Macaca fascicularis: one gene and its partner. The protein of the gene in region 1 purifies or fractionates together with the protein of each later gene. This does not show direct contact. Links are inferred from orthologs where the notes say so. Each region holds a gene or a part of one and is shown on either strand. Other genes may lie near its edges. The genes, in order: RNF25 and UBE2E2.

What was found.
Region 2: the proteins of RNF25 (region 1) and UBE2E2 purify together in Homo sapiens (affinity purification with mass spectrometry; 3 studies listed by BioGRID and IntAct, counting the BioPlex papers as one, with this or other methods). This does not show direct contact. The link is inferred for Macaca fascicularis from reciprocal best matches to the Homo sapiens genes RNF25 and UBE2E2.

The regions. Positions count from the first base shown.
Region 1 is NC_088386.1:114,599,259-114,603,616, reverse strand, and holds the start of RNF25 (E3 ubiquitin-protein ligase RNF25), read left to right. Parts: upstream 1-1,505; 5' UTR 1,506-1,537; coding exon 1,538-1,578; intron 1,579-4,358. Other genes in the region: STK36 (serine/threonine-protein kinase 36), read right to left, coding at 594-677. UniProt on the Homo sapiens protein: E3 ubiquitin-protein ligase that plays a key role in the RNF14-RNF25 translation quality control pathway, a pathway that takes place when a ribosome has stalled during translation, and which promotes ubiquitination and degradation of translation factors on stalled ribosomes.
Region 2 is NC_088376.1:25,157,458-25,161,273, reverse strand, and holds part of UBE2E2 (ubiquitin-conjugating enzyme E2 E2), read left to right. Parts: intron 1-2,628; 5' UTR 2,629-2,636; coding exon 2,637-2,812; intron 2,813-3,816.

The DNA of each region.
Region 1 (4,358 bases):
TGTCAGTCTCCCGCTTCCATTTTCTCCATGGTACCCTGGCCGTATCCAGGCTTTCCCCACTCCTCATCCCAGGAGGAAACAGCATGGGCAAAACATCTCACCTTCTAGGAGAAGTGTTCTGATTTGACCAAAGCAGTCAAGATGAGATTTAGGGGAAAGGAAAGGAAAAAAAATTAAGAGGAAATAATAGAGTTCAAGTGGTTTACCTCTTACTACATGGTGTGCTAGAGACTAATAATAATAATATTTGTTGTTTACTAAGAGCCAGGCACTGTACTAACTGATTTAATGTGACAACATACTTAATCTCAAATGCCATCAATCAGTTGCTGTTCTTATCCCCATTCTAGAGATGAGGAAATTGAGACATAGAGAAGTTAAGTAATTTGTCCATAATTCTAGGGTTAGAAAGCGGTGGAGATGGAACTTATACCCAAATAATACAACTTCAGAGCTTATACTCCATAAGAAGTATGAGAGAGTCAATGCCTTAGGAATATAAACTGGTATACATACATCCCTTCTAGACCCATTTTCCACTGGAGTTGGGGGTACCAAATCCCACCCAAAAGGTATCCCTCTTTGTACAATACCTGAGCACTGTATTTTCTTCGACCCTTGTACACCCTCCCAAAAGAGCCTTCTCCAATCATCTCCAACACGTGGTACTTTTCCATGACAGAGGTTTCAGAATCTCTTAGAAGGAAAAAGGTAGAGACGGTGAAGAGCTATAGATCCAGGGACAATTCCACAACATCTGGGAGGCCTAGTTGGGGCATGGGAAAGGAAAAATGTTAGCCACCTTGCCTTTTCTCTTTTTCACAAAGACCAAGCCTCAAAAAACATGGGAGGGTAGAATGACGCAAAGGTGATGCGATCTTGGAACAAACACAGCATCTCTTTGTAGTTCCTCTCCACTTTCAGCCTCCTGTCCCCAACCCGGCCCCATGCCCACCTGACACCTGGTCCCCCTTCTCCCTCACCCAGCTTGGCCCACTCGACCCTGCTCTCTTAACCTAGCATCGCCCACCCAACCCTGCTCCTTCGAGTCTCCCCCAAGTTCCTGCCACTCCCAGATTCCTCAGCACCTGCTCTCAGACCCCCTGGCCCATGCGCTTCGCAAGCCAGGGTCCCTCTCTCATCCCCAGCCTAGGAGATCCAAGCTCCTCAGGCCCAGGGACGGATTCCCTGGCCTTTAGCCCCATATCTTCTGGCTGCCTGCATACGTTGCCTGACTTACAATTCTTCTCCACCCGCCCCTCGCGCCAGTCTGTTTTGGCTCCCTTTCTAACAATTTCACTCGCTAGAACTGGTGAGAAGTTCAGAGGACAAAGGCGCTCAGAGGTGTGGGAGGGACGGCGGACCACACATGGGCACTTCCTGGGACGCATCCGAACTGCCTCTGGGCCGTCAGGCCCGGCTAAGGACCCGGAGTCTGCGGTTGCCTAGAAACGACGCTAGCTGCCCACCCCTCTTAGTTTTCCGCCTCCGACTTCCCTAAGGGCATTTCCGGTTCCGGCTGCGGGCCGGTGAAGACATGGCGGCGTCTGCGTCTGCAGCTGCAGGGGAGGAGGACTGGTAACTTCGGGGGCATGGGCTTTGGCTGACAGTCTGGATCTAGTCCAGAGGCCTAGCAGCTGTCGCAGACGGTCCGTACGGCGGGCGTGTGGGGTGGAGCGAAGGATGAGGGATGGCAGAGATGCTGACATCTCCTCTGGGAGATCTTCTAGACTGGGGAACGGGAGGGTGGAGGGGCGCTGATCTGAGTGAGAAGAGACCGGGTCTGCGCCCGCCAGACCAGTTCAGGCCTCGCCTTATCCGGTTCGATCCCCTTTCCTCCAGCTTCACGCTATCCCTTTCTATGCTCCTCAAATGAATTTTCTCAGGGGCTTTGGGGGATGCCTGCCCGTCAGACCTCCCCATCTCCCTTTCGCCTCTCAGAACTAGTGCCCTCCGGTTCGGTACCCCTTTCTCCTTGGATCAGCGTTTTTCCGCCGACGCTTTCCTCAACCTTCTCTCTCCCACACAGCACTAGTGAGGACTATTGTCTGAATAAAGCTTTACACCTCACATAAAGTCCCTCTAGTCCTTCTCTCAAGCATTCTTAACTAAAGACTAGAACATGGAAGGACTCTGGGATTTGGAAGTAGGATCAATGTGGGTTAACTCCGCATTTTATTAGCTGTGTGATGCTGACCAGGCCATCTAGCTTCTGTGAGTCAGTGTCCTCAGCTGTAAAAACAAAGTGGGTGTGGTATTTACCTCAGAATAGTTGAGAGGATCACGATGGATTTGTAATATACTTAAGTCTGTTTTTTTGTTTTGTTTTGTTTTGTTTTGTTTTTTGAGACAGAGTCTCACTGTCGCCCACGCTGGAGTGCGGTGGTGCGATTATGGCTCACTGCAGCCTCAACCTCCCCAGGCTCAGGTGATCCTCTTGCCTCAGCCTTCCAAGTAGCTGAGGCTACAGGTCTGTGCCACCATGCCCAGCTAATTTTGTATTTTTTGTAGAGACAGAGTTTTGCCATGTTGGCCAGGCTGGTCTTGAACCCCTGGGTTCAAGTGATCCTCCCACCTCAGCCTCCCAAGGTGCTGGAATTACAGGCGTGAGCCACCACACCCGGCCTCCTTTTCATTAATAACTGAGGTGCAGGCACCTGGGAAGATTAGATGAGCCCCAAAGAAGTAAAGTGATTTGCCAAAAGGTGGAAAATTGCGACTAGAAATCCACATCTATCTGACTCCACACCTTAGATTCTTTATACTAGGACATTCTTCAATCCCCTCTCCCCCATTTTGTTGTCACCACCTTACCAGCATCCCATCCAGGACCCACATAACTAGGGTAGGCAAAGTATTGAAGGGCCACTTGACTGAGGCTACACCTCAGTGTTACATTGGTTCAGGGAGCCCTGCTAGTACTGGCCTTTATTAAGACTATCTAGACTACTGGTTTTCAAAGTGTTCAGGGAAACTTTTTCTTTTCTTTTTTTAAGAGACGGAGTCTTACTTTGTCACCCAGGCTGGAGTACAGTGGCAAGATCATGGCTCATTACAGACTCAACCTCCTGGGCTCCAGCGATTCTTCTGCCTCAGCCTCCCAAGTAGCTGGGACCACTGTGTCCAGCTAATTTTTTATTTTCTGTAGAGATAGTCTCGCTTTGTTGCCCAGGCTGGTCTCGAACTCCTGGCCTCAAGTGATCCTCCCACCTCAGCCTCCCAAAGTGCTGGGATAACTTATAGTTGACCTGTTCAGGGGAACTTTTAAGATTCAGGGGAGACACCTTGAGCCATGGAGAGAACAACAGTGAGTGCAGCAGCCTGTAGTGCTGTGAGACTCCCATCCCATGTCAGCCAAAACTACACTATTTTCTGTGAGGTGTAAAGCTTTGTATTTTATATTTTGAAGTTTCTGCCTAAGACTTAACAACAACTGACATAAGTCATGCTGGAGCAGCCTTACTCTTAGAATGAAGAGAGAGCAGTATGAGAAAGGAAAGTATGCATTTTTCCATGTATCACCTGGTAGAGCTGTAGACACAAACTGATCACTCAGCTTCAATTTCAATACAACTACTGTTTCTATGCTTAAGCATGTGTGTCCTCTGATTTACATCGGAACATGGATGCTAACCTCAACAGGCTGATGTAGATCAACCAGACAGCCAGGGTCATAAATACATCCAGAGTACTCTACTACCTCCCTCCTTCCCTCTTCCTTCTAAGGGAGAAGGTTATATACAGACGGGAAGAAAAAGAGGATGTAGACTAGCTACTATAGCCCAGATACTATTAGGTACTTTATATAAACAAATCACCTTTTATCCTCATAGTAACCCTAGAGAGTAGGTGTTATCATCTATATGTGATAGACAGGATAACTTAAGCTTACAGAGAGGTCACTTCCCAGATCGCATAGCTTGTAAGTGATTGGTACCTGTTACTAACTCCGAGGCTGCTGGCTTTTCCATTACAACACAGCCTTTACACCACCCTAGACCTGTTGTGTTGAGGTTGCTATCTCCTTTAAGAAGGCTTAGGGTGACTGGTGTTAAAAGTGTATGTAGACGGTAGCCAAGGCACTGGGATCCACACTGGACATTGATGTAGGGAAAGGCTGGAGTAATATTGGTAACGTTAATGCTAGTAAATGGGTGCCATACCTCTAGACCAGAAAGTCAGCCACTAAGGGGAATGAAACTTAAACAGGGAGTCAGGAAACCCGACTCTGGGCCCAGTTCTACCTATGTTAAGCCTTGGTTAGTCATTTTATTTTTCTGGAATCCACTTCTTCATCTCTTGGCAGAAATAATGCTTAAAATTCTGATTTTTGTGCCTCCTATTTGGCCAGTTGAAAA
Region 2 (3,816 bases), on another chromosome or scaffold:
TCATGGAACAGATTGCTCCTGGTTTAAAATGTATAAAATGATTTCTCACTCATTTCACATTTCTTAAGGTATCGCTGGCAGCATTTTGCTGTATCTGAGCACCTTTCCCTGAGGATTGTTCTCGTTTTCACTGTCATGCGTGCTGCCCTAACTGATATGCCATTATGTACATACTTAGAAGGTTTTAAACTTCTGATATATTTTAACTGAAAGAGGTAAGGTGAAAAAAAATTAAATCCAAGAATGAGAATTTAGAGTAAAATAAAAATGAAAAAAAGCAAGAAATATGTTATGACTTTTAGAGCTAGATGTGAAACATACTGATAAAAAATTTCAGTATTCTATTAAGTGACTTTAGTGCTCATAAAAGATGTCACAGCTGTGGAGACTGGTGCTCTCCATTTACAGAATAGGTAGAAAAGTAGTCAGCTTTTCCATTAGTATGTTTCAGAGCTGTTGAGGCAGACCTGTTTTTGTGTGGCATGAGGAGCTGTTGGGGTTGAAGGGGTGCTGGTGGTGGTGTGTGTGGCGTGTCAGTGAAAGGATTCACTATTTTCTGTTGACTCTTTGCGGCTCTGTGCTTCGTGATGCCTCCATTCTTTTGCAGTGCTTTTTGGTTTGTCTTACAAAAATTTCAGTCTATTAAAGATCGGTGTTACAACATTGCTTTGGCTTGGAGCAGACTACAAGTTAAATCTTTAGTAATGATGAATTTTCATCAGTGTCAAATAGCTATCCATTTGGACTAAATTGTAGTAATTAAAAATTTTGCTTTATTTGAGGTATCTTTACCTATTCTTATTGATCATATCAGAAACAGTTTTATTTCAAGTCGTAATTTGAATAAGAATAATCAAAAGGATCCATTTCAAAAGGAGTTTGTTCAGTGTACCTCTAATTTTTAAAGGTATTTTTTTTGTTGTTAATGGTACTTGTTAAGTATAGGTATTTGTTTTTAAAGAGGTGTCTGAGAAGGTAGCTATACAGTGCTCAAAGTGATTATTAGGTGACAAAACTGTGGTGAGCACAAGACCTTTTAGAGTCTGGGCATGGGTTTTGTTGGTTCAGTTCTGGATTTGTCAGAACACTGTAGGCTAGTCAGCTCGTAAGGGATGTATTCGTAGTCATCAAACTCAGAAATTGATTATGGTAGAATGACAGTTGAGAAGAGATACTCCTCTTCTCTTACTGGAATTGTTTGTGTCTCCTGTCTAGATTATAACAGCTACCTAAATATCAAGCTATTGAGGAAATTGAGTTGGTAATCAGAGCTGCTTGGGGAGCCTGAACTCAGAGCAAAGGGAATTTGAATGCCTTGAGGGATATTTTAGCCAGACTGTGGGGAAAAGAAAAAAAAAATTCTTCAGTGTCTCGCCATCTCTTGTGAAATATGGTTGCTTTAGTATATAGCTGAATCAGTGCTGATGCCGTCGTATGGTTCAATTTTTATTTAGAATCATGCAGTCATGCAGGCCTCTGTGTTCTTCTGTTATCACAAAGGTTACTTAAAACAATTTACTAGTTTGGAGAATTTTAACCTTAGCCCAGCTCTGAGGATGTATTGATGGAATAGGGATTTGAAAGAATCCTCCCATTTTTCTGTTCCCACAACTATTTGTACTAACCTTCGTTTTTGTACTTAGCAAGTTGGCTAGTCCAGGTTTTTCACAGTTGTGGGACCAAAGGGTTTAGCACAGCACCTGGTAGAGAGTAGACCCTTAGTCATTTTTTTCTTATTTTTTGTAACAGCATTATTGATATGTGATTCACAGACTATAAAATTTACCGTTTAAAAATGTACAACTCTGTAGTTCTTAGAATATTTATTATTAGAATTGAGCAACATTATCATTATCTAATTTAAGAACATTTTTATCACCCCACAGGGAAGCATCCTACCCATTAGCAGTCAGTCTTCACTGCTCTCCCCTCACTCCCTGGCAACCACTTACCCATTTTATTTTATTATTATTATTATTTTGTTTTGAGACAGGGTCTCTCTCTGTCACTCAGGCTGGAATGCAGTGGTATCAATCATATTTTTATTTTTTGTAGAGATCGAGTCCTGCTATGTTGCCCAGGCTGGTCCTGCCTGGGCTTCCCAAAACATTGGGATTTACAGGCGTGAGATTTACTACTGAATTTGATGTTTATGAATTTGCCTATTCTGGACATTTTATCTAAATAGTCAGCTTGTGGTGCTTTGTGGCTGGCTTCTTTCACTTACAGAATGTTTCAAGGTTCATCCATTTTGTAGCACGTAGACACTGTATTTCATTCTTTTTTATGGCTAACAGTACATTATGTGAATATACTACTACATTTTGTTTATCCATTCATTCGTTAGTGGATATTTGAGTTGTTTCCAGTTTTGGTTATTATGAATAATGTTGCTGTGAACGTTTCATGTATAAATTTTGTATGTTTTTGTTTTACAATACATTTTGAATGGATGAAGGAAAAGTTTTAGCAAGTCCCAAAGCTGCATTGTTTTGTAAATGACCAATTTAATCCGTTTTATATTGAGATTTACTTGTTTTACTTTGAGATTCATTCTCTGTGTTCTGGAGGTAGCTTACTGTAGTCGTCCTCACAGCTGAGTAAATGATTTTTGATTCTTTAATCCAGGATCTAAAATGTCCACTGAGGCACAAAGAGTTGATGACAGTCCAAGCACTAGTGGAGGAAGTTCCGATGGAGATCAACGTGAAAGTGTTCAGCAAGAACCAGAAAGAGAACAAGTTCAGCCCAAGAAAAAGGAGGGAAAAATATCCAGCAAAACCGCTGCTAAATTGTCAACTAGTGCTAAAAGGTATCTCAGTTATTATAACCTTTTTATTTTTGGTATCAGTTTATCATCTTAAGTTCTGTTTTTCTCTTGCATTTAATCATTTTTTCCGTGATTGTCAGCCATGAACTTCGTGGATTTTTCTTTCCCTTTCAAGATGATCTCTTTTACATGGTTTTAGCCATAGGGAACTTCAGTATTTAAAGTCAGTTAAATGGCATGGCAGATTCATAAAATACATTTCCATAGTGTGTTTGTGTGTTTGTGTATTATTAGGGAAGCATATACAGGGCGTGCATGTAAAGTTGCAGTGGTTTCATTTATGGTTACTTGACCATAAATATTTTTTTTCTGTTCCGTAACACAAAATAGAGATTAGGAATCTTTTGAAGTGGTTATTGAGTGAGTGATAGTTTATTTTCCACTACTCCCAGTTGGTAGAGTCAGAAATGCTGACATTAGCGACAAGTGCATCTTGGTTTCATTACATTAGTCAGTGGATCCATCTTGATACAGATTTTTCTCTTTCTCTGGAGAATAGATGGATCTGGAAAGTAGGTATTTGAATGGTCTTCTTTTGGTACATCAATCTCTTAAAATGATTGGCATGTCAGTGGACTTAGAGGGAATCTGTTTTGATATTGTTACATTATAGAATATCTCTTGGAAAATAATTTGAAAGATAAAGTAGTGTCTTTTCTGATCCTGTGATTTTATGTTCTTGCTTTGTTTTCATATGTTTTATATTGCCCAAATAGGAAGTATAAATAAAAGCGATCTGTAACTTTTAGGCATAGTGGAATGCCTGAATGTTGAATTACAGCTTTATATGTTATTTTATGGTGTGGATTAAGGGGAACTCCTTTCTCAAAGATAAGAAACCATTATTATGTTCTAGTAGACCTTGTTTCCCTTTGGCTTAGTCAGTCTACAGGATTGGAAAGAACCTTCTCAGGCCCCTTGGTGAGAGATGTTGGAGGATGGTGAGTGGTTATTCCAAGGTACTAGAGTATTCAGTTTCCCTTTCC